2 linked regions of the Rhinolophus ferrumequinum genome follow. The protein of the gene in region 2 interacts with the protein of the main gene of each other region in a pairwise test. Links are inferred from orthologs where the notes say so. Each region holds a gene or a part of one and is shown on either strand. Other genes may lie near its edges.

Evidence for each region.
Region 1: the proteins of DTX3 (region 2) and UBE2L6 interact in binary tests that used the Homo sapiens proteins (3 or more experiments, as listed by UniProt). The link is inferred for Rhinolophus ferrumequinum from reciprocal best matches to the Homo sapiens genes DTX3 and UBE2L6.

The regions. Positions count from the first base shown.
Region 1 is NC_046294.1:11,571,343-11,582,750, forward strand, and holds the start of UBE2L6 (ubiquitin/ISG15-conjugating enzyme E2 L6), read left to right. Parts: upstream 1-7,030; 5' UTR 7,031-7,133; coding exon 7,134-7,160; intron 7,161-10,774; coding exon 10,775-10,870; intron 10,871-11,408. UniProt on the Homo sapiens protein: Catalyzes the covalent attachment of ubiquitin or ISG15 to other proteins. Functions in the E6/E6-AP-induced ubiquitination of p53/TP53. Promotes ubiquitination and subsequent proteasomal degradation of FLT3.
Region 2 is NC_046293.1:56,554,865-56,566,148, forward strand, and holds the start of DTX3 (probable E3 ubiquitin-protein ligase DTX3), read left to right. Parts: upstream 1-7,057; 5' UTR 7,058-7,304; intron 7,305-8,007; exon of another isoform or gene 8,008-8,155; intron 8,156-8,595; 5' UTR 8,596-8,660; intron 8,661-8,850; 5' UTR 8,851-8,896; coding exon 8,897-8,925; intron 8,926-9,282; coding exon of another isoform or gene 9,283-9,301; coding exon 9,302-10,031; intron 10,032-10,957; coding exon 10,958-11,175; intron 11,176-11,284. Other genes in the region: PIP4K2C (phosphatidylinositol 5-phosphate 4-kinase type-2 gamma), read left to right, coding at 1,841-1,987, 2,177-2,215, 2,810-2,923, 3,298-3,565, 3,733-3,836, 4,031-4,111. UniProt on the Homo sapiens protein: Regulator of Notch signaling, a signaling pathway involved in cell-cell communications that regulates a broad spectrum of cell-fate determinations.

The sequences.
Region 1 (11,408 bases), on a different chromosome or scaffold from region 2:
AGATTAATCATAAAATTCCTTTTGGCCTGACAAATGGAGCAGATCTGATAGATAAGAGTGAGTTACGTTGCTAATTCCTTTAGGATGGGCAAGCAGAACAAACCTCAAATTTCATTAGAAGGCGCCAGTTCCCTTCTTCAAACAAGTTCCCTTCTTCAAACAGCTCCCCTTCCCCAAGCAGGCAAGAGAAGGTATAAAAGTAAGAGCTTTTGCCTCAGTCAGGGGGCACCCCCCATTCGGACCCCTTCCAGCTTGGAAGCTGCAACCTCTTCTCCTGCCTCTAATAAACTACCTCTTTTTAAAACTGTTTGCCTCTCCCTGTGTTTCCATTCTTCGGCTTCACGAGACACGATCCGGGCCCACACTCAGAAACTGCCGGCAGATCCAACATCACCTACATCACAGTCTCTAGAACTGTAAGAAAATAATTTTCTATTGTTTAAGTCACCTACTTTATGGCATTTTGTTATGGCCGTCCGAGCTGACTAATGCAATATTGTTTAACGGACTCATTTTGTTTACTTAAATACACTTATAGTATAAAAAGGAAACTTGACATCGCCTCTGGAGATGGAAAATCGGTAGCCCTCACTATCAATAGAATGAATCAGGACCCCCCAGACACAGGGCCTCAAGCGCAGAATATTTTGAGGGGCCTACGAAAAATGCTTTAATTTTAATTTCTTTAAACATTTACAGAAGAAAAACTAACTATAATAATGAATCCATCTGGATTTTATTCATATTTATACCAATATAGTCATGAAATGTAATTTTTAATCTTTTTTTTTTTTTTTTAATGAAGAAAGGGGCCCCCAAGGTGAAAGTGCCTAGGGCCCCTGAAAGTCAGAATGCAGCCCTGGAATGAATGTACCTATAAAAGAAACGCCAGGAGGAATTCAGTGCGGGAGAAGAAAGTCTAATAGTCATACTGAATTGAGATAGAGAAGGACGACAGCATATTAAAATTGATAACCAAATTTGTCATTTGACTAAATTGTTACTGAAGCAGGTTAGTTAGCATGGTTGGTTATTTAGACAGGAAGGTCCCTGGTGGAATAAACAAAAAACAGCCATATCCTGAAATTCCAGGTTCTGGAATATCTCCTTCACTCCAGGACAAAGATATGAGACTGCGCCTTGAGGTTAATAAATTATCTCAAATCCCTTTTGGCCGGACAAAGGAGCAGATCTGATAGATAGGAATGGGTTGGTTCGTTAATCCCTTCAGGATGAGCAAACAGGACAAACCTGATAGATGAATTCCAGTAGAAGTCTCCAGCCCCCTTCCCCAAACAGGCAAGGGAAGGTATAAAAGTAAGAACTTTTGCCTCAGTCACTGGGCTTCCCAGTTTTGGGTACCCCTTCCCGCTCGGGAGCTGCAACCTCTTCCCCTGCCTCTAATAAACTATCTTCCTTTAGAACTTTTTGCCTCTCCCTAGTCCGTGTGTCCATTCTTGGATTCAGGCGACACGATCCCAGCCCACACCCAGAAACTGTCGACAGATCCAACATCATTTACATCATTACTTCAGATGAAACTTGTTTTACTTTTCCTGGAGTTTTCCTGAATATTGTTTTCTGTAGAGTTGCTTTTATACAGATTATTTAGCAAAGTTCAGGTTTCAGAGAATTGATTTGGCTCAATAAGTTTAGGTTCTGCTGTTTTCCACCTTTCTATCAATAAAACTTATGGTATTATAAAAGCAAAGAAAGAAATATGCTGAACAAAGCTATCAGATTTTAATTACATTCAGTCCCCTAACTTAGTCATTCTAACACAATTATTCGATTTGAGGTGGTTGTTCTGGTGTGTCCTGAGCTTTGTGTGATCTGCCTCAAGGCTATGATCTGGGCAAGCAGGAGAGACACTCTGTTCTGTATCATGTCAGGAAAAGTGCCTTTTGGCTATGTTTAAAGGACAGGACCAACTTTAGGTTCCCTAAGGAGCCAGCTATAGAAAGCTTAGGACACTGCTGTCTTGCAGGCAGCACTAAAGTAGATTTTCAGCCTCTTCAATACCAAGGCCATCCCTACCAGTTGAGCTCCACATGGAGAGATCTTAATGGGACCTTCTCAGTGAATGGAATCAGAGGAGTCCTCTGTAGTGAGTAATTCTGAAGCAATCCTTTCCTGGAATAATAGTCTACCTGAAGACAAAGTTTACATCCAGATATTTACATATATATATATATATATATATATATATATATATATATATATTTACATATATATATCCCTATACTTGGGAGATTGTCATAGTGTAAATCAGGAACAGCCTTCTCGTTAGTGACAATCTTGTAATAAAACTCAGGAAACAAGACAATAGGAATTGGCTTCCAGGGACCTGAACCTTTCTGCCCATACGAGTGTTGGTTCATTTCCATGCTTTTTATGATTTCTGCCATTGGCAGAAATTTTCATACTTTCTATGTTTGGTTTTTAAATGACTCAATTTTTTATTATTAAAAAATAGCACATTTGAGTCCATTGAGAAAATAGAAAAAGTAGAAGTTGCTGTTAACCTACTGCATTGACGAAGAAAGCAATGGCATCCCAGTCATTTCCTTGATTGTTGATGAGGTTAAATATTCGTCTTTTTTGAGTAGCTGTGTTTCCTTTTTGATCAAATATTGATGTCCTTTGTCTTTATAGTACCTATTGGAGTTGCTTTTTTTTTTATATCAAGTTGTAGGAACTCTTTATATAATAAATATAATTTAAGTGGCAAAAAAAAGAGAGAAAGAAACATCATGAAAATAGAATGATGTTACTAAATTCTAGTTGATTCTGCTTGCTGAAATCTCTGTACCTCCTTCCTTCCGTGCCTCCACATTCCTTGTGAAAAAGGGAAATTAACATGTGTTAGGTGTGAAAGACTGACTACCACCAAACTGACACTTTGTCCTTGAGAAATCAAGAAGGACCAGACAAGACTAAAAAAGAAAAAGCTTCTTCAATCTGCGATTTATTGTGATTTAGTACCACCTAAAATTGCTTGACACCCCTTCAGTGGGTTCATCCCGTACCTGGGGGACACCGGATTTGTTGGTGATGGAGACGACGATGATAATTGATTATTATATTATCATGGTCCAGAATTTTTATGAGTGCTCACTCTATGTCAGGCCTTGGGCTAAAATTTTGCATATTAAAATCTCACGTAATCCTGACTTTGGGAATGAGGTATTATTATCTCCATTTTATAGGTAAACTAAAGCTTAGAGAGGTAAGTAACTTGCCCCAAATCACTTAGAAAATGTCAGAGCTTTAATCCAGGTCTGATTGACCCTGAATTCCATGTTATTTATCTCTAGGTTATGCTTCCTATTTTTGTTTCCCTCTTTTAATTTTCTTTGAAAAACATATTGTATGCATTTATAGTTTTGAATGGATAGTTATTCACATGGTAGAGAATTTTAAAAGTACAAAACAGTGGAAAGGAGGTCTCCTTCCTACCCCATCCTAGGACACACAGAATGGATAAACCACTCATTAGTTTCTTAAGCATCCTTCCAGATGAGTCTACAACTCATTAAAGATAATTTTCAGAAAAAGGCAAAATCATGCCTCTCGTACAGATATAAAATGGACACATGTTCAAGACTTCATTCTACTCATTAATCAACAAGGGAACCAGGCAGATGTCAGAATTAAAGAGAATCTGAAAACAGACACATTTGTAGATCAAGAATATTGAAATAAACATGTAAATAAAACAAAACTGGTTTTTCCATGGGGTGGGGAAAAGAAAGTCAATTAAACTTCTGTTGGACAGAAAGAATTTGCAGGTCTATAAGAATTATTTTGCATGCTATAAGTTACTACAATTTAGGGAGTTGTACAATAACTCAAAGATGATGAAAGGCAGACAATCTGAAAAAGGTGTACTGTATGTAAGGCAACATTTTTTCCCTCCCAAACCGATAACTACTTTATCAGGTTCTTAAGTATCCTCCAGGTTAGTCTCTAACATGCAAACATAAATGTACAGAAGGTGCCAAAAAAATGCATACACATTTTAGGAAAGGAAAACTGTATTAAAATTGTAATAATATATACCATAACAAACAATGAATACAAGTCACGTTTGACTTCTGCAATTACAAGAAGTGCTCAAAGTGGTTACCATCAGCGTGCAGGCACTTCTGATTACAGCGAACTACTGCTTGAGCAACGTTGACCAAAGTCTCCACTTGTATACATTTTTTTGGCACCCACGGTATCTACTGGAGTCTATAAATCACAGCTGAGGTGCCATATTGTCTATGGTGTCTGAAAAGTATTTTTTTCCCAACTCTTTTTCAGATGGTCTCTGTGACCTCTGGCAACAACAAGAGCTGTCAAAAAGGAAAGTCCTGCCTCATCCAAGTGTAGAAGATGACAATTTTTCCCTGTGAAGTCCCTGGAAGGGTCCTGACCAGGAACAAAGCACTGTCACACCTTCCAGCCAGGTACACTTCCCTGTTTGCAAAGGCCACAGCCATCATGGGGCATGAAAAAGCCCGACCCTGGGCAAGAAAGGAAAAGAGAGGGTTTGAGAGATAGCAAGTTAGTAAGTGCAAAGAGACTCCAGAGCCGGGGATCCTTACAGGGTTAGGCAGCTAAAAAAGCAGATGAGGCTGGGCAGGCCAGGAAAAACACTGTGGTGAGGACCGTGGTAAACTGGGACCTGCATTCCTGCTCTAAAGGAGCAACCCTGACTAGGCTCCAGCCAACCATTGCCGTGAGGGGTCATTGCCAAGTCTCCTGTTTTTAGAGAATCCAGGAATACAAATTTTTATGCAAAAACCTTTCAGTTTTAAAGAGAGAATATTGTAAAATTTAAATGTTATTGATTTTTGAAGAGGTAGTTTATTTACATGTTTCAAAAATTTGAAAGGAGGGGCTGGCCCGGTGGCTCAGGCAGTTGGAGCTCCAGTGCTCCTAATGCCGAAGGCTGCTGGTTCGATTCCCACATCGGCCAGTGGGCTCTCAACCACAAGGTTGCCAGTTCGACTCCTCGACTCCCACAAGGGATGGTGGGCTGTGCCCCCTGCAACTAACAACAGCAGCTGGACCTGGAGCTGAGCTGCGCCCTCTACAACTAAGACTGAAAGGACAACTTGACTTGGAAAAAGAACTGGATATACACACTGTTCCCCAATAAAGTCCTGTTCCCCTTCCCCAATAAAATCTAAAAAAAAAAAAATTTAAAGGAAATGGGATTTTAGTGAAAAGTGTTCCTCCCCATCCCATACCCAGTCACCTAGTTACCCTCCCCAAAGACCATCACAGTCTCTCATATCCTTCCAGACATGCTACAGGCATACAGAGGCAAATATTACATTATTATGACTATCACTTATTGTCCAAATATCAATTCATTACTCCTCACATTCACTATTATTAGCTCCACTTTACAGATGAGGAGATGGAGGCACCGACTGGTTAAGTAATTTGCCCAAGTTACTCAGCCAATAATAGTAGAGCTGGGACTGAATCCTGATTATTTATATCTGGGAATTACAATTTTCAAAGTTCCTCCACTTCTGTGAACTGAGCCTGGCAGTGGCCCTGGGAAGCAGGTGGGAGGTTCCACAGCCCACCCAAGGCCATGTGGCACTGGGGTGCAAATGTAGAACTAACAAGAGTCCAGGTCTCCTTGGGACTCATTCTTACACACAAAGGTCTGTACTGTGTAAGGATATGAAGGGCCATGCACATGGGCCTTCCAGCTGTGTGGGTGGTTAGGATCCATCCCAGGATGGGGAGGCTGAGCTAAATCCACGACTTTGAATTTACTCTGGGGATGCAGGACTTCTGTACGAGAAAGGAAGGTGCTGGACAGACTTTGTTCCACATTATGGAACTGCTTTCAGTTTCCATACATTGCACCTTTGCTTGCGCTGTTCCCTCATCTGGGAACACCCTCATCCCACGTTTTTACTCTAGCTAACTCACTATGCTTTGCAATTCACTTGGATTTTTTCTCTCCCAGGATACCTTTGCCCCCCCCTGAGGCTGCATCAGGTGACCCTCCTCCAGGCTCCCACAGCATCAGATGGTTCCCCATATATATCCTGTGCTTAACCACTTTGCATGAAAAATGCATTCATCCTCAAGGACAAGGAGCCCACTTTCTCATCGTGCTGTTCCCTAAAGTCAGTGCCTGACACTCAGTATAGTACATGCATGCTAATGCCCCCCCAACTGTTTTTCCAATCCTCACATAGTAGACACTTGACTAACTATTAAACCTAAGAACCCAAACCCTAAAGCAAGAGCGAATGGGTCCAAAAGCGCCTCCTTGCGGTGCTCTTCACCAAGCAAACCACCTGGGGGAAAGAAACGTCCTTGTATTTGGGCCACCGAAGGCTGCACCTCACAAAGGATCTCAAGCTGCCAGGGGAGGAGTGCTTGGAGGGCGTATAGTTTGCGTCGTCCCTACCCATTTTTAGAGATGGGGCATTGGGCCCAGAGAGGGGAAATAACTCGTCGAGGGGGCTCCGGGAATTCGCTGGCGTCTGTGTGTGTGTGGGGGGGGAGGGAGCCTCCGGGAATTCGCTGGCGGGTGTGTCTATCTGTGTGTGTGTGTGTGTGTGTGTGTGTCTTTGGGCCGCGGACTGATGGTGGAGTCCGCCGAACAGTCGGGAGCTGCGTTTGCATAGCCAACATCCTGTATTGACTTAGGGAGACTGTGTGTTTGGGGCGGCGGGGAGAATGGGGCCTCCCTGCACGGCGTCCGGCGGTGGAGCGTGAACCAGAATCCGCGCTGGAACCAGAACCCGGATGGGTAGACCCCAGCCCCGCGCCTCCGAGCGCTCACATACTGGTGCACAGCGCCCCCCAGTGGGATACAGGGATCCGGCCACGTCGCCTGCTCCTACGCCTTCGGGGTCCTCCGACAAAAAGCGCGAGATCCGGGGACCCGAGCCCACTGCGCCGCGGACCGGGCCGGGGCCCGCAGGGTCCAGCCCTCGGCGGCTCCCAGTGTCAGTCAAGGAGGCGGGGATCAGCTCCGTACCGCCCGGCGTGCGCACCAGTGGGCGGCGCGCGGGCGGGGCCCCCGGAGGTGGCGTCTCGGGGGCGGGGCGCCACCAAGCCGGAGGACAGTCTCGCTGGACTCGCTGGGTCCCACGCTCCGCGCCGAGATGACGGCGAGCAAGCGGGTGGCGAAGGTAACTGTGTGGACGACCCCTTTCTCCCGGCTCCCCTCGCTCTTCCCACCTCCTCCTCCCTCCTCTCTCTCCCCGACTCCCCTTGAGCATTTGTTTGTCCGGGTTGCGAGGCTGGCGGAGCCCTGTCATCCCCGCCCCCTCCCCGAGGAGGAGTGGGTCTTCCGGAGGGGCCAGAGCTGGAGTTTTGAGGGGCGAGGGCACGTCCGGCGGGGGTGTTGTTGGCTCCCGGAACTGCGCTGCGGATGGGGATTGAGCCTGTTCCCGCAAACTGGTTTCAGTTTCTTTTCTCCTGCCAGAAACTTGTGATTACAATTGCTTGCATCTCAGGTGACCAAGGGATTCAGGAGCCACGCTCTCTACTGGGGGTGGTTGGGGGGCGGAGGTGGGTGGGTTATGAACAGAGATAACCAGGACAAGGTCCTTGCCTTGGAATGGCCGAGGACCCACTCTTTAATTTGGTACCTACATTTGGAATCTAGAATCCTGAGAAGTCTGGATGTTGAGTAGGAGTCAGGAGCTAGGTACCCGGGGTTTTCCAGGGAGGAAAAGCTGCCAAGGCAGACCAGCAAGGTGTCCTGGAGTAGGTGTGTGCATTCACTCATTCTACAAGTGTTGAATGCCTACTGTGTGCAGGCTCCTATTCTAGGCAGAGATTAGCAAAAATCCTGCCCTCGCTGAGCTTTCTTTCCAAATAGGGAAACAATTTGAAGGGAAGGTTTGGAAGGATAGGGAGGGGAGGATTTCCCCCAGGAGGTGGAAAAACCCAGGGTGTTTGCAGGGCTGGGGTATACCGGGCAGATGGAGATAGATGGGGAAGGAAGAGCAATCTTAGTGAAGTGGGTCAGATATCCCCCGGACTTTGAGTCCCTGAAAAGTGCCCCTCCAACGTGCAGGGTGCAGGGGACAGAGTGAGGGGGGTAAAAGGGAGTGCCTGCTGTCCTCAGCCTCTGAGAAGAAAATGGTCTCATACTGGGGCACCCAGCGCAGGCGCAACCCAGAACTGGAGGCTGGCAGCAAAACGGGGCAGAGAATCTTGCCAGCCAAACTGGAAAGAGCTAGGAGCCAGTATTTGGTATTTATCCCACTGGCACAATTAAGTGACAAGCCATTTACATTACTTATTTCATCTTACTCTCACAGCAACCCTGTGACATAAGTCATATACCCCCATTTTACGGATGAGGAAGTTGAGGCTCAGAGAGAATGACTTAGATGTCATGGTCAGCCAGTAGGGAGTGAGGGAGCTGGGATTTGAGCCCAGGTTAGTGGCCTCTCTACTTTCATTTTCTGTTCCTCTGAGTCAGGTGATTTCCTCACAGGCCTCAGGAAAGAACTGTGTGTGCTCACTGGGGTTTCAACATCCTTAGCTTGGGGAAAAGTTGGAAAGAACACATCTATAACTGATAAAGTCCAAGTGTTCCCAGTTACAGTAAAATCAGGAAGTGTTCATCCCACAGCTTCTTCATTCAACCTTGGCCTTGCCAAAGAGAGCAGATGATATTGGAACTAGGACTTGAAGTAGCAGATGCTTCTAGTTTGGGGTAAAGATAAATGAGGGTAATGTCTAACCTCTATGCTGTACACCTGAAACTAAACATAGTATTTTTTTTTTAATTTTATTGGGGAATACTGGGGGACAGTGTGTTTCTCCAGGGCCCATCAGCTCCAAGTCGTCGTCCTTCAATGTAGTTGTGGAGGGCGCAGCTCAGCTCCAAATCCAGTTGCCGTTTTCAATCTCAGTTGCAGGGGGCACAGCCCACCATCCCATATGTGAATTGAACTGGCAACCTTGTTGAGAGCTCACGCTCTAACCAACTGAGCCATCCGGCTGCCCCTCTGGAAGCTCAGCGGCAGCTCATTGTCTTCAATCTAGTTGTGGAGGGCGCAGCTCACTGGCCTATGTGGGAATTGAACCGGCAACCCTGTTGTTCAGAGCTCGTGCTGTAACCAACTGAGCCAACTCGGCCGCCCCGAAACTAACATACTATTGAATGTCACCTGTAATTGGGAAAAAAAAAAGATAAATGAGGATCATAGAATATACTCTGGGCAGAAAACGCAAGAAGCAGTTTGTTGGTATGAACAGAGATGGAGTATGTGCTAGAAGCTAGCAATGGAGAACAGGGTGTGTTTATATATGGGGCCGTAGAGAAAGTTTAGGTGGTCCACAGTGTTAAAGGACCCCTCCCCAACCATGGAAGGGCTGTGGGAAGCTTCGTCTTTGCCTTTTATTTATACCAGTGTTCCTCAACCTCATCACCATTGACATTTGGGCCAGATAAATTGTTGTAGGATGTTTATGAGTATCCCTGGCCTCTACCCACTAGATGCTAGTAGCACTTTCTCATTTGTGACAACCAAAATGGTTCTAGATAGTGCCAAGTGTCCCCTGTGGGGGTAAAATTGCCCCCAGTAGAGAACCACTGGTTTACAATTATTTGGTGTTTCAGAGGATAAGACCTGCCCTTGAATGTCCTTTAATCTTGAATCTTGTAATTGCCCTCCCCCCCAATAAAAAGAGGCCTGTCGTTCCACAGGATGGACTCTGGAAGGGCTCCTTAGTCAAATAAGTTTGGGAAGTACCGCATGCTGTGGGCTCACATCTTGGAGATTCATGATACACAATAGCATATTAAATAAAGACTTTGGGAAGTCCTACAGTAAAGAAATCTGTTTAGCTTAATGTTTCCCAATGTACTTGACCATGGGACCCTTTTCCTGTAATAACTATTACCCTTGCCTATATAGTACACACTTATGCACATTTACTCTGACCGGGCCCTTTGTCTTGGTTCCTCTCCCCATTTCTGCATGGTGGGCTTTATTTTATTCCGCGTGGCCCAGCTCATTGTCACCCTGCACGAAGCCTTCTTGTTGCCTTCTCCTTTCCTTCCCCATTATGTCTCCACACATTGTCCACCTAAGCACATTCCTGTTTCCACCATTACTCCGATGAAGTTTCTGAGAGCTGGGCTCTGTCTTAGTCCAGTGTCCGTAGAGGATGCTCAGGAAAGGGCTGATGGGAGAATTCCAGGTGATTGGGCCACATTTCTGAGAAGGTGGGTCACTCCTGTCCCCTTGTTTCTCTGCTTGGTGTATAGAGTTCTGCTCTGCTGCGGTGCATCTGAGTCATTGCCCTTCCCCAGCGCGGGACGGGAGGAGTCTGACAGGCATGAGTTGACGTCTCTGCTGCCACGAGCACTGTAAGGGCATGTCATCATGCTGGACACTCAGTGGACGCTATGGAAGGAAGGGAAAGAGGGAGGGTATTAGGACCTTGTGACTCTCTAGGAAAAGGACTAGAGGACAGAGGTTAAGTGCCTTGGTTTCAAGAGGAAAGGCTCCAAGGAGAGTTGACTTTCAAGTCCTCACCTTCTGTATATTCCTCCCCGTACCTCCAGACCTGTGCTGAGGCTAACATTGGAGAAATCACTTACAGCACGTGGCACCGGGCATGACACATACCGAGTGCGCCAGAAAATGGGGGCTCTGACTTTGCCGGCTTCTGTCTCCTAGGGTGTCCTGTGTGGGACTTGGCACAGCTTGTGCTGGGGCAGGGGGCGGTGGCTGAAGTAGGGAAGACTAGCCAGTTGCCCTTCACTGTGTCCCCACAGGAGCTGGAAGATCTGCAAAAGGAGCTTCCCAGGTACCTGCGGAACCTGGTCAGCGATGATGCCAACGTCCTGGTGTGGCACACACTCCTCCTTCCTGTGAGTGGCCCCAGGATCATGGCCGTGGGTCGAGGTGACTGAGGCTAGGGCCTGGGCAGGGAGGGTTAGGATGGGCACAGTTTTCCCTGCCTTAGAGTCCTTCTTTTTACTCCCTCTGTCATTGGCAGAGGGAGTCTCTCTCTGGAGTGATTGCTTCTGAGGCTGAGGCCAACTGATGAAAAACTAAAAGACTTTTGGACTTAGCAGGAGATTCCTTCCTCAAACGGGTAGCTGCCAAACCTACCACAGAAGCTTCAGCAGACAAACAGCATCCAAAAAATAAATAAATAAATAAATAAGATCTTTTGGATCTTTGTGAAGGGAGAAGGATAAACTTCCTTTTTCCCACAGTTGGTAGAGGGTAAAGAGTAGCTTCCCAAATTATGCCAACCTTGAAATGTTATCCAGACATTTGTTATGTCAAGATCATTGTGATGCTGATCTCTTGAACACGAGAGGCATCAGTAAAAGGTTGTCAAAATAATCATGTTTTCAAAAAAAGTTATTTTTCTTAAATATTTAAAACAAAATTTAAAAG
Region 2 (11,284 bases):
TGGCCCTTGAGGATCTATCTCTTGATTTAATGGCAGAGTCCAGTAAGCTAGCCTTAGCACACGGCAAGATGTGTGCAATAGTAGAGGTAGGTACAGAATGCTCTGGGGGTGCTGAGGAAGAGTGTCCCAACTCACTAAGGGGAGAAGGTACACTTGGGAGGCTCAAAGAGAGTGTTTTAGAGGGAATGTCACAGGAGTTGATTCGTGAAAAGCTGGAAGGGACTAGCCGTTGGACAGTGTGGAAGAGAGCATTCTAGGCAAAGAAAAAGAGCACTTGTAAAGGCACAGAAGCATAAGAGAACTTGGTGTTAGGGAACTGCGAGAAATTCAATGTGACTGGGATATGGTACTGCAGAAAAATAGTTAGGCAGATGCCAGATGGTGCAGGGTTTTATAAGCAACACAAAGAGTTTGGACTTGATCCTGAAGATGGTTTGCAGGGGAGTGATATGTATGTTATTTAGAAATTTCCCTGTGACAGCATTTTAGAGAATGGACTGGAGGGTGGGGGGATATTGGGAGTGGAGATCCAGTTAGAAGGTACTTGTAATAGCCCAGGTGAGAAATGACAGAGCCTGGAGGAGCAGTGGCAATGGCGTTGGAAAGGAAGACTTAGGGGAGAATTGTGGGAATTAAGGCAAACACACCTCCAGTTAGGGATACTGGGGCCCCATTCACCAACAGTTGGGAAGCAGAAAACGAAACAGGTTTTTGGAGGAAGACAGTTCTGGTTTAGACACTTTGAGTTTGGGGTTTCTGCAGTTCATACAGATACCAATGTCCAGTAAAGTGTTGGGGAATGGAGTTCGGGAAAGATGATTAGAGTAGAAGTGTAGATTTGAGAGTTATAGGTGAAGAGGTGGTAATTAAAGCCACAAGTATAGATAAGATTATTGAAGGGAAGTGTGGAGTAAAATGAAAAGTATTGTGCAAAGAATGGTTGAGGATAGAACCTTAAGGAGCAGCTGGAGAAAAGAGCCCCTAAAGAAGACTAAGAGTCAATGGACACTTTTAATTATTTAGGCCCTACTTCATTCCATACAGGATTGGAGGACAGAGAGGAGGGGAATCAGAAGAGTGGTTTAATGGGAGCTGAGGGGGAAGAGAGTTTTAAGGAGAGACTGGTCAGTAGTATCATGTGCTCAGTAGATATATTACAATGACTAGATACTCATTGGATTTGGCAACAGGGATTTGGGGGAGGGAGGAGTAGAGAGATTTCAGAGGAGAAATGAGGGTCTAAGTCTGATTTCACTGGTTTGAGGTGTGAATAAGAGCTAGGAAGTGGATTAATTGCTGACTACTTTTCTGAGAAGGTTGGCTATGAAGAGAAGTAGGCAGCAGTATTGAAGGAGAGAGAGATGGTAACATTGAAAGAGGAATAATTATGTAAGAATCCAAACTACAGGCATCATGCAAACATTTTTACTACAGGAATCTAGCCCAGCAAGAAACATTGATCTAGATAAAATCGGTTAGTTGATAAACATACGTAATTTCTAATCCTGGTTCTGTGACCATCTGCATATAAAGAGGGTCTAAAATAAGGATAATAACACCTACATTCCCCGTCTCAAAGAATGATAGCTATGAAATGAGAGAAGGCACTTTAAAATTGAGCCAGTATGCAAATGAATTAAGCAGAGGAGATGAGGATTCAGAAACTGCAGGGAAAACCAAGGGCGTCTTCAGAAAGCGCCCACCACTTTTGACCTTCTTGTAGCCTCTCTACTTGAAGCTCTCTGCCCACTCGGGAATGGGAGTGTTTGAATGCCCACCCGTGGGCTGTTTGTGTATCTGCTGCTCAGCCTCCCCCTATTCTTTCCTCCCTTCCGCCCAGTACATTGTGAAGTGCCATGGCAACACACTGCTGCCCCAGTTCCTGGGGATGTACCGCGTCAGCGTGGACAGTGAGGACAGCTACATGCTTGTGATGCGCAACATGTTCAGCCACCGTCTTCCTGTGCACAGGAAGTATGACCTCAAGGTAAGGAGAGGAGAGCGAGGGCGGAGGGGGTGCTCCTCATCGCCTGAGAGTGGGAAGGACCCGGGAAGGCACTGGATGATTCCTTTGAAAGAAAGAAGGCTATAGGTTTGAATACTTGTCTTAGGAGCTGGGTGTTGACTGTTCTTTAAGCCACTTCTGCTGACTTCATCTTTGGGTCTCTCTCCACAGGGTTCCCTTGTGTCCCGGGAAGCCACTGATAAGGAAAAGGTGATACTAATTTTAGGGTGAGGGATAGGGGAGGGATGAAGATGAAAGGGATCTTCTTAGGATAAAGAGGCACGTATTACCAGCTATTTATTCTTATCTTAAACCCCTGACTAGGAGAGAGATGTAACCTTGTACCAATCCAGGGATTGTGTGGAAGGGGCAGTGGGAACAGCTGCTTTGTCACTGGCGTGGTTTATTATTCCCTTTGGAAGGTTTGGGGATGGGTGAGAATGTCAGACTTAAAGAGCACAATGCTTACCTCCCACCTCCTACTCTGGCCTCTCCTAGACAAGCAGCTACTTTTGCTTAAGAAGAAAGAAAAGTCAGCATCGAGGGCCTTGATGAAAACCATAAGCAGAAAGTAGTGAGCTGTGATTTGGGGTACATCTACAGTGACTGAGTCTGGGGAAGCCACTGGAAGTGAGAACAGACTGGGGGCCAGCATCCCGGTGTGGAGTCAGATGAGAGAGGGGCTGTCAGGTCTCTCTCTCCTAGAGCCCACTGAGTTCCACATAGAGCCTTAGAGAGAGCAGGGTTCTCTGAGGCCTTGGGGGAAGGGATAGCTTCCCAAGGTGTCCCTTTACCTATTCTCAGGTTAAAGAATTGCCCACTCTTAAGGATATGGACTTTCTTAACAAGAACCAGAAAGTTTATATTGGTGAAGAAGAGAAGAAAGTATTTCTAGAGAAGCTGAAGCGAGATGTGGAGGTGATGATTGGGGTGCTCTGGGAAATGGTCTTGTTTCCTTTCTTGCTTCCCTGGGGGGCAGTTGTCTCTCCATTCACGATCTGAGGGAACTCCTCCCCTTTATTCTTTGGGTTCTCTGCATGTCGGGGAGTTGAGTATGAGACATGAAAAATCCCTAGAGGTGACCCATAGAGGAGGTGGCTGGAATGAGCTAAAAGAATGATCTTAGACACCAGGACATTTTGTTACTAGAGGAAAATGGTATACTCCCAACCCTCAATTTTTATACATCCTTTCTCCAGGAGAGCCCCAGAAATTCAGGGGTGGAGGTATAAGGGTAGTACCTGGGAGTGGGGAGGGAGATCTGGGGTGTCTGATTTATCGGTGGGTCTCAGTTCCTCGTGCAGCTGAAGATCATGGACTACAGCCTTCTGCTGGGCATCCATGACATCATTCGGGGCTCTGAAACCGAGGAGGAAGGGCCAGTGCGGGAAGAGGAGTCAGAGGGGGATGGGGACTGTGGCCTGACCGGACCTCCAGCTCTGGTGGGCTCCTATGGCACCTCCCCCGAGGGTATCGGTGGCTACATCCATTCCCATCGGCCCCTGGGACCTGGAGAGTTTGAATCCTTCATTGATGTCTACGCTATCCGGAGTGCTGAGGGTGAGAGAGATCCTGGAAATTTTGAGGTGGGGATGATGGTCCTTGGGGGATGGAGACCAGGGTGGTGGGTGGAGAGTCCAGTTAGGTTTTCAGAACAGATCTAACTGGTTCCTGGGGAGAGGGAATTGGGACTGTGCTTGTCCTTCATTGCTGGTTACTCTCCCCAGGGGCCCCTCAGAAGGAGGTGTATTTCATGGGCCTCATTGACATCCTGACACAGTATGATGCCAAGAAGAAAGCAGCTCATGCAGCCAAAACTGTCAAGCATGGGGTGAGGGTTCCCCAGGGCCTTTCCTTTCCTGTCTTGAGTTCACTATTCTTTGTGAAGAGAACCTCTTGTGCTAGAGCAGTGGGTGGCAAAAGGATGAAGGGTTGGGTGTAGAAATGATGTGGAATGGAATGGAGTATGGGAAATGGGAGAGTGATGGGGTGACCTGACACCATGTTCCAAATCTCTTCTCACAGGCTGGGGCAGAGATATCTACTGTCCATCCTGAGCAGTATGCTAAGCGGTTCCTGGATTTTATTACCAACATCTTTGCCTAAGAGACTCCATGGTGACTGCTGCTTTATGTTCAAGGTGGTGGGGTTCTTCAGAGAGGCTTGGGGGAATTGTGGATATTCTGGCCACTACTTCTCTTCCTCTTTGCTAAATTCAGGCTACAGGCTCTGTTGAGTAGGTTCTTCGTGGCCCTCAGAAATACATCCTTTCTACCCTTTGTCCAGTTTTCCTCCCTCTCTCCCTCTCCTCCAAGAAGTCTGCTTGATTTGTTAGAGTGTAATTGTTGACTCTCAAGTGCCTTGATCTTTGTAAAATGTCCCGTTGTTTCTGTAACATAGGAGGAGCTGGGGGAAGGGGGTTGTTTGCTGTCTTCAGGACCTGATTGGACAGATGGACCTGGCTCAAGCAACTACTCTGGATGCACTTTGCTGTGTGGGATGAACTAAGTGTCTGAATTTTGCTGATAACTTTATAGAACTTATTATGGAATGCTTCCTTCTGGTAGGCCCTGGGATGGAAGACTTTCATGATACTACAGATGTGGGTGCAGGAATGCACGCATATGATGGGATATGGCCAGTTTCACACACACAAGTGGGGTGGAGAGTGGTCAGCAGGCTGGCACCTCATGCAGGTGGGACCTAAGAGGACTCTTGTGATTATGCAGGGAACTGGAGAAGGTCTCTGTCAAGGATTAACTATTCTCCAATCTCTTCCCTTACCCCACTTCCACTACCACCCCTGTACTTGTGGGTGCAGGAGCCCAGAGATGGATGGCCACAGTGTTCAAGCCTAGGTGAAAGTGTTTGACTTCTGCTGCTCTTCCCCAGGATCACACACCCCCCCTGGCCCTGGAACCCTTTGGTGAGGGTATGGCCAGTTCTGGAGGCTGGGATGATGGGCCAGGGGTATAAGGTAGATTCCGCATGTTAAATTTCCCTTCTTCATGTCTAGCCATCCCTGAAGTTTTATTCCCAGGAGAAGGGAATATCGCTACCTGGGTCAACCCCGGCCATTTTAAGAGGATGGAGGTCTCAATTATGGGAACCTTTTCTGGAGGTGTGTGCCTAGCATACTTCCTTCCCCCACCCACTCTCAAACCCTTTCCCCAGTTGGATTTGTTATTCTGTTCTCTTCTGTCCCGTCTTATACTGCTACTGTGTTTCCCAGGGGACAGATGGCCGCCTTTGTCATCTTCATTCTCCACCCCCAGAGAGGAATCAGAGCCATAACTCAATCACCCTGCCCCCTCCAAAGATAGTTGAGTTGATGCATGATATTCTCAGAATGTAGAGGACCATCATGAGCCCAGATAGCGTCCTCCCCTCCCGCCAATGCCTTTCGGGCTAAGGCAGCCATTCTTGCTATCCTCCATACCCCTTGAGGCTCCTACATTTTTTTCTTAAACACAAAGATGGGCACCAGCAACTGGCCTGTGGGGATGCAAAGATTCTTTTCTCTGTATCTGGCTGGACTGATCTGTCTCACAAGAAGTCATGAGGTCGTAAAGAATTCTTTCTCCCCTCCATCTTCTCCAAAGAAAGAAGAGTCCCCAGTTAAGGATTGGAGCCCCTGTGATATCATCCTGTCTGGAGCCTGATGGATCTTTTTCATTCCAACCATCTACCTTTCCCCTGTTGAATGCAATAAAACTCCATGACACCAGCAACTGTTCTTTAGAAATGTGTTTTCTGACCATGTGGCTAATGTATCATGAGCAGTATGGTCTTCATTTGTTGCTTCTGATTTTCATCTTTTTTTATTAATACAAAAGATCTTGTGTATTTACTCCCATTGCCGTCACTATATAGAAATTAAATTATTGAATCCAAATCCCTTCACAGAAATGCCTCTTTGTTTGTTTGTTTGGTTTGGTTTTCCTTTTCTAAAGAAGCCTGTGCTTAGGGGTACACGGACCAGGTGAAGAATTCTGATCTTTAAGGTACTGGTCCCCTAACTAAGGGTGTGGGTTTCTAGATAGATGGCTGTAAACTTAAAAGTTTGTGAGGATTGTGCATGGGAATGAAAACTTACTCTCCCACTTTGTGGCCGTTCAGCTATAGGGGGGCCAGGGAGAGCTGAAATGATGTGACCTTCCCTTTTCCCCCAGGGTCCTGGGCTTGGTCACATCTCCAACTCTGTAAAGGTGATAGTCTGTCAGCCCAGCAGCTAAAAGAGAAGGAATTCAGTGTTCCCCCAGGCTTCCTGGGAAAGATGTCCTCTGCCTGGAGGGCAGGAAGAGTACAACAGGGTCCTGGGAAAGGGAAGAAAGTGACCAGCCCTCCAGCTCAGAAGGGGAGTGAAGAAAGGGGATGGGTGGCAGAGGTTGTTGCCAGTCTGGAAGACCCAGTATGGCTTGGCCAAGGAGGTCTGGACTGGTGGAAAAACCTGGCTTGATGTGACCCCAGGGAAGTGAGTTGGACTAGGGGCGGGGATTGCTCTGATGTGGGAAGCAGAACTGAGCAGAGTTTTTTTTTTCTTTGAGAGTTTTTAACTCTATTTGAACCATAGACTTGACACTACCACCACCTCATGGCACTTGAAAAAAAAACGTATTCACTTCCCATTCTGCACCAACTTCAGTTTCCCTGTCGTGGAAAGAAAACAATCAGAGAAGCACCAATACCCATCTGGGAGCGGGTTGTGGGGGTCACAATCTAGGAAAAGGCAAGAGATGAGGGATTGAAATAGTTTAGTCCAGGCGTTTGTTTATTTTTTAGATCCAGCGCTTTCCTTTCTACTATGACTCATCCCATATTATTCCTCAAAGACCCTGATAGCATAAGGATCACAAAATAATTGAGCCCTCCTCCCCATCTACCTAGACCAGCACTCCTCTGTAGCTAGAAGCTGCCAAGCAGCTGGCTGGGAAAGAAAAAGCGAGAGGGCTCCTCCGGGAGTGGGTAGCGAGAAAGGTTGCGTCTTGTAACGGATTTAACCTCCTACCCTCAGTTCCACGACGCCACTCCTTCCCTCCAAAGACTGGGAGGGCGCCTCCATTTTTGTTTTGGGGCGGAAGGGCAGGGTCTTGTGGATAGAAGGGGTCAAAGGAAACGGTCATTGTCACCTGGGAGGGGGAGGAGGTGCAGTTCTCCTTCCCTTTCCCTCACAGTCTGCACCCCTTGCACACTACCCCCACCTTCAAGGGGTCTCCCCCCCCCCTTGTTGCTAAGGCCCAGGCCGTCATCCCAGCAACAGCCTCAGTCATGTGACCGGCAATGGCGGCGCTGACGAGAGGTAGGTGAGCCCGGCGCCCCCACACCCACCGCGCGCCCCCCCCGGACCCGCTCGCACCCCTCGTGCGCTCTCCCGCTGCCCTTGTGCCCCCTCCTCTGTTTCATTCCTCCGTGCGGGGCTCCGGGGCCCCCTCCACGTTTGGTGGATCCTCTTTTTGTTATCCTCCAGCCCTGGCCTCCATTTGGGGGTTTTGGGGACTGCGATCGCGCCAACATGCACCCATACCCAGTGGTAGGGCTCCGGGGGGCTCCACGAGATGGGGAGACGGGGACTTGGGGAGTTGGTTCCGGGTCGGGTCTTGCAGGAGGTCGTGGGGGGAGGGGTGCAGCAGGCTCAGCGGATGCCCCCAGGGACCCTTGCCCTTCCCTGCTGCCCCTGCTGTCGGTCCCTGTCTGGAGGGAGGGACTGGCCCCGTGTCCCGCCTGGGTTGCCCCAGAGGAATCTAGAGACCCAGCATAAACTGGCCCCGCCTCCCTTTTCTGTGCCATCAGGACTTGGAGCTAAGGACACCTAGGTCCTGGCTTCTCTCTGATGAGGGGTGGAGGGTGTTCCACCTGGATAGACAGTACGAGCTGAGGCTCTAGGGGTTCCAGTTTCACTTTCTGAATCTCGAGGTGCATCTGGCCTTGAGGGGTCTATGACAGAGACACAAACGAAGAGCCGCTCCCCTTGGGATCACTCATGGCCCCTCTTTCTATTTGAGCTGCATTTGGAGGTTGTAGGTGCTGAACATGGCAAGACTCAGGGGAAACCTCAGACTCCTCCGGCGGAGCCTCCGCGTGAGCCCCACCCCTCCCTAAATGCAGACTAGATTGCTGACCGGCTTGCACTTCGTGTGCTGGGTTTGAAAGGTGACAGTGAGAACTTTGTTATTGCAGGGGCTGCTGCCACTTAGTTTCCATTCCAAACGGACTTCAGCAGAAGGGACTGGTTTGGCTCTCAAGGAAGGCTCCCCAGCAATAGGGACTGAATTATCTGGGAATGTGGAGCACAGGAAATATTCCTGTCCATGGGATCTGAGGGAGGTGGCAAGAAAGACCTTCATCTGTGTGGGCTTTCCCCTCCCTGACTTACCTATGCTCTAGGATTTCTTGAGAGCCTCAGAGCTGGGGAAGAAAAGAGGAAAGTTAGCATGTTGAAATTCCTTATTTAACAACTTGGGGAGAGGCTGGGGATGGAATTCTGCAGGAGATAAGGAGAGGTAATGAAAGTTTTTGTTTTGTCTCTGGGCAGACTGGGGAAAATGGTAACATATGTCATCATAACCCTTTACCCTCCCCCCTCCCTCCAGTCCTGGTCAGCTGAGTGTGGGAACAGAAGGATTTCTGCTTCTGTCATCGTCCATGAGCTTTCCAGGTATCTGCCTCCTGAGGGAACCTCAGCTTTCACCTTTAAGTTGGTTTCCTCCATTCTATGTTCAAGTAATGCCATTCCCACTAATTTACACCCAGGTTCCCATCTCTGGTATGTGGGCTGCTGGGTTGGGGCATATGGGAAGAGGGAAAGGGGTTTCTCACTTACCCTCCTTTTCCTGTCCACCTACCAGGTCACACCACCTACAAGTAGGGAGCAGGGACAGAGAGAGAGCCTGCATGCCATTTCTAAGCTCTTCAGGATCAAAGTGAGCAAAAAGGAGGGTCGAAAAGTCTCCCTCTCTTTTACAGAACCCAGTTTTCGCCCAGGGAGAGGGAGGGGCAGATTGTTTCTGTGATCTTGGGAGGAGTGAAAGGAGAACCAAGACTGATGCTTGGCTTAGATGAGAATAATAATGTTTAGAAACTTCCTTACTCTTCTGTGGGTGCCGGGGTTTGAAAGAAGAAGAGATAGAAAAAGGAAAAGAACTTGGGGGAAGAGTTGGAGGTTGGACTTTGAGAAAGTAGAGATAATTTAGGGTTGGAAAAGAACCTGAAGTAGGAGGTACTGATATTTGTCAAATGGGGACCCCCCCCACCCTGAGTCCCTTTCACCCTGGGGGCAGTGTCGTTCGTCCTGTCCAGAATGGCAGCCTGTGGAGGCACCTGCAAGAACAAAGTGACTGTCTCCAAGCCTGTGTGGGACTTCCTGAGCAAGGAGACCCCAGCCCGGCTGGCCCGGCTTCGGGAGGAGCATCGAGTGTCCATCCTCATAGATGGCGAGACTTCTGACATCTATGTTCTCCAGCTTTCCCCACAGGGCCCTCCCCCAGCCCCTCCCAATGGGCTCTACCTGGCCCGGAAGGCTCTCAAGGGGCTGCTAAAAGAGGCAGAGAAAGAGCTGAAGAAAGCTCAGAGGCAGGGGGAGCTTATGGGCTGCCTGGCTCTGGGGGGTGGGGGAGAGCACCCTGAGCTGCACCGCCCAGGCCCACCCCCTCTCCGAGCAGCCCCACTCCTGCCCCCAGGGGCACGGGGTCTCCCCCCACCTCCTCCTCCCCTGCCTCCTCCTCTTCCTCCCCGCCTTCGGGAGGAGGCAGAAGAGCAGGAAAGCACCTGTCCCATCTGTCTGGGGGAGATCCAGAATGCCAAGACATTGGAGAAGTGCCGGCACTCATTCTGTGAAGGCTGCATCACCCGGGCCCTGCAGGTGAAAAAGGCCTGCCCCATGTGTGGCCGCTTCTATGGGCAGCTGGTGGGCAACCAGCCCCAGAATGGGAGGATGCTGGTCTCTAAGGACGCCACGCTCCTACTGCCCAGCTATGAGAAATACGGCACCATCGTCATCCAGTATGTCTTCCCACCCGGTGTCCAGGGGGTAAGGAGACTTCGGCCTGCCCTTACCCTTTGGTTTTTACCCCAAGCTCCTTCTCTGACCTAGGAAAGCTGGGGGAGGGGAGTGTGTTTGTTAGATGTGATACAGTCTTGCTGCCTTCCAGAAGGCATTCCCATTCAGTGCCCTGGAGTTAGGAGGTCCCCTTGAGGTCCAACTTTTCCATCCCCACGACCCCAAGGCACACATGAAAATCAGGTATGAAAGAAAGGAATTGAGTACTATTTCCTTGATGAACTTGGATACCAACAACTATTCTTGGCAGAGGTGAATTCTCTGGAGATGGTGGCTCAGATGCAGGCATGCACAAGCAGGAAGGGATCTGACCCTCCTAACTAGGAGTGTTACTCCATTCCAGATTTATGAGAGAGGAAAACCTCAATGACAGTGGAAGTTTAAAACAGAAATGTTCAAGAGCCTATAGTTGTCTTCCTGCTTGACAAAGAGTAATTTCCAGTTCTTTTCAGAGGGATGAGGAAGCTCTGAAGAAGAGTAATAGAAAAATGGAACAGGTTAGACAGTGCAAGAAGTATTGGGAGTGTTTTCAGGTGGAGAAGGGAAGGCTGAAAGATAAATTATTCTCAGTCTTCACATTTCTGCTGAGTTTTCTGGAGAGTAAGGACCAGCTACCTTCCATCACTTCTGAGAATCCATTTGTTGCTGAATTGAGACTTGAGGGATTGAGATGGGGAGAAAGAACTCTTAACAATAAGGGTTTTGTCCAGACACAGGCTCCTGCTGCCCAGACCCTAGAGTCTCTCCTTCCCTGAAAGGCTGTCAGCCTGTTCTTGCCCTGTCAGCATTAGCTGGGCGTGCACAGACAGAAGGCTGGCCAGCATGACCTTCCACTGGCATCGTGGCCTTAAGATGCCCAGCTGCTCATTGCCTACTTTGCTTCCCCCTCCTCCCAGGCTGAACACCCAAACCCAGGAGTTCGGTATCCTGGCACCACACGGGTGGCCTACCTCCCGGACTGCCCTGAGGGCAACAAGGTGCTGACCCTGTTCCGCAAGGCGTTTGACCAGCGTCTCACCTTCACTATTGGCACGTCCATGACCACAGGGAGACCGAATGTCATCACCTGGAATGACATCCACCACAAGACCAGCTGCACAGGGGGACCCCAGCTGTGCGACACTCCTTCATTCCCCTTTCTTTGGCTCTGCCCCTTCGGTCCATTTCCACTGAGGGAACAACATCAACCCCCTCCTTCTGGGAGCCTCCTAACTGGAGAGGAC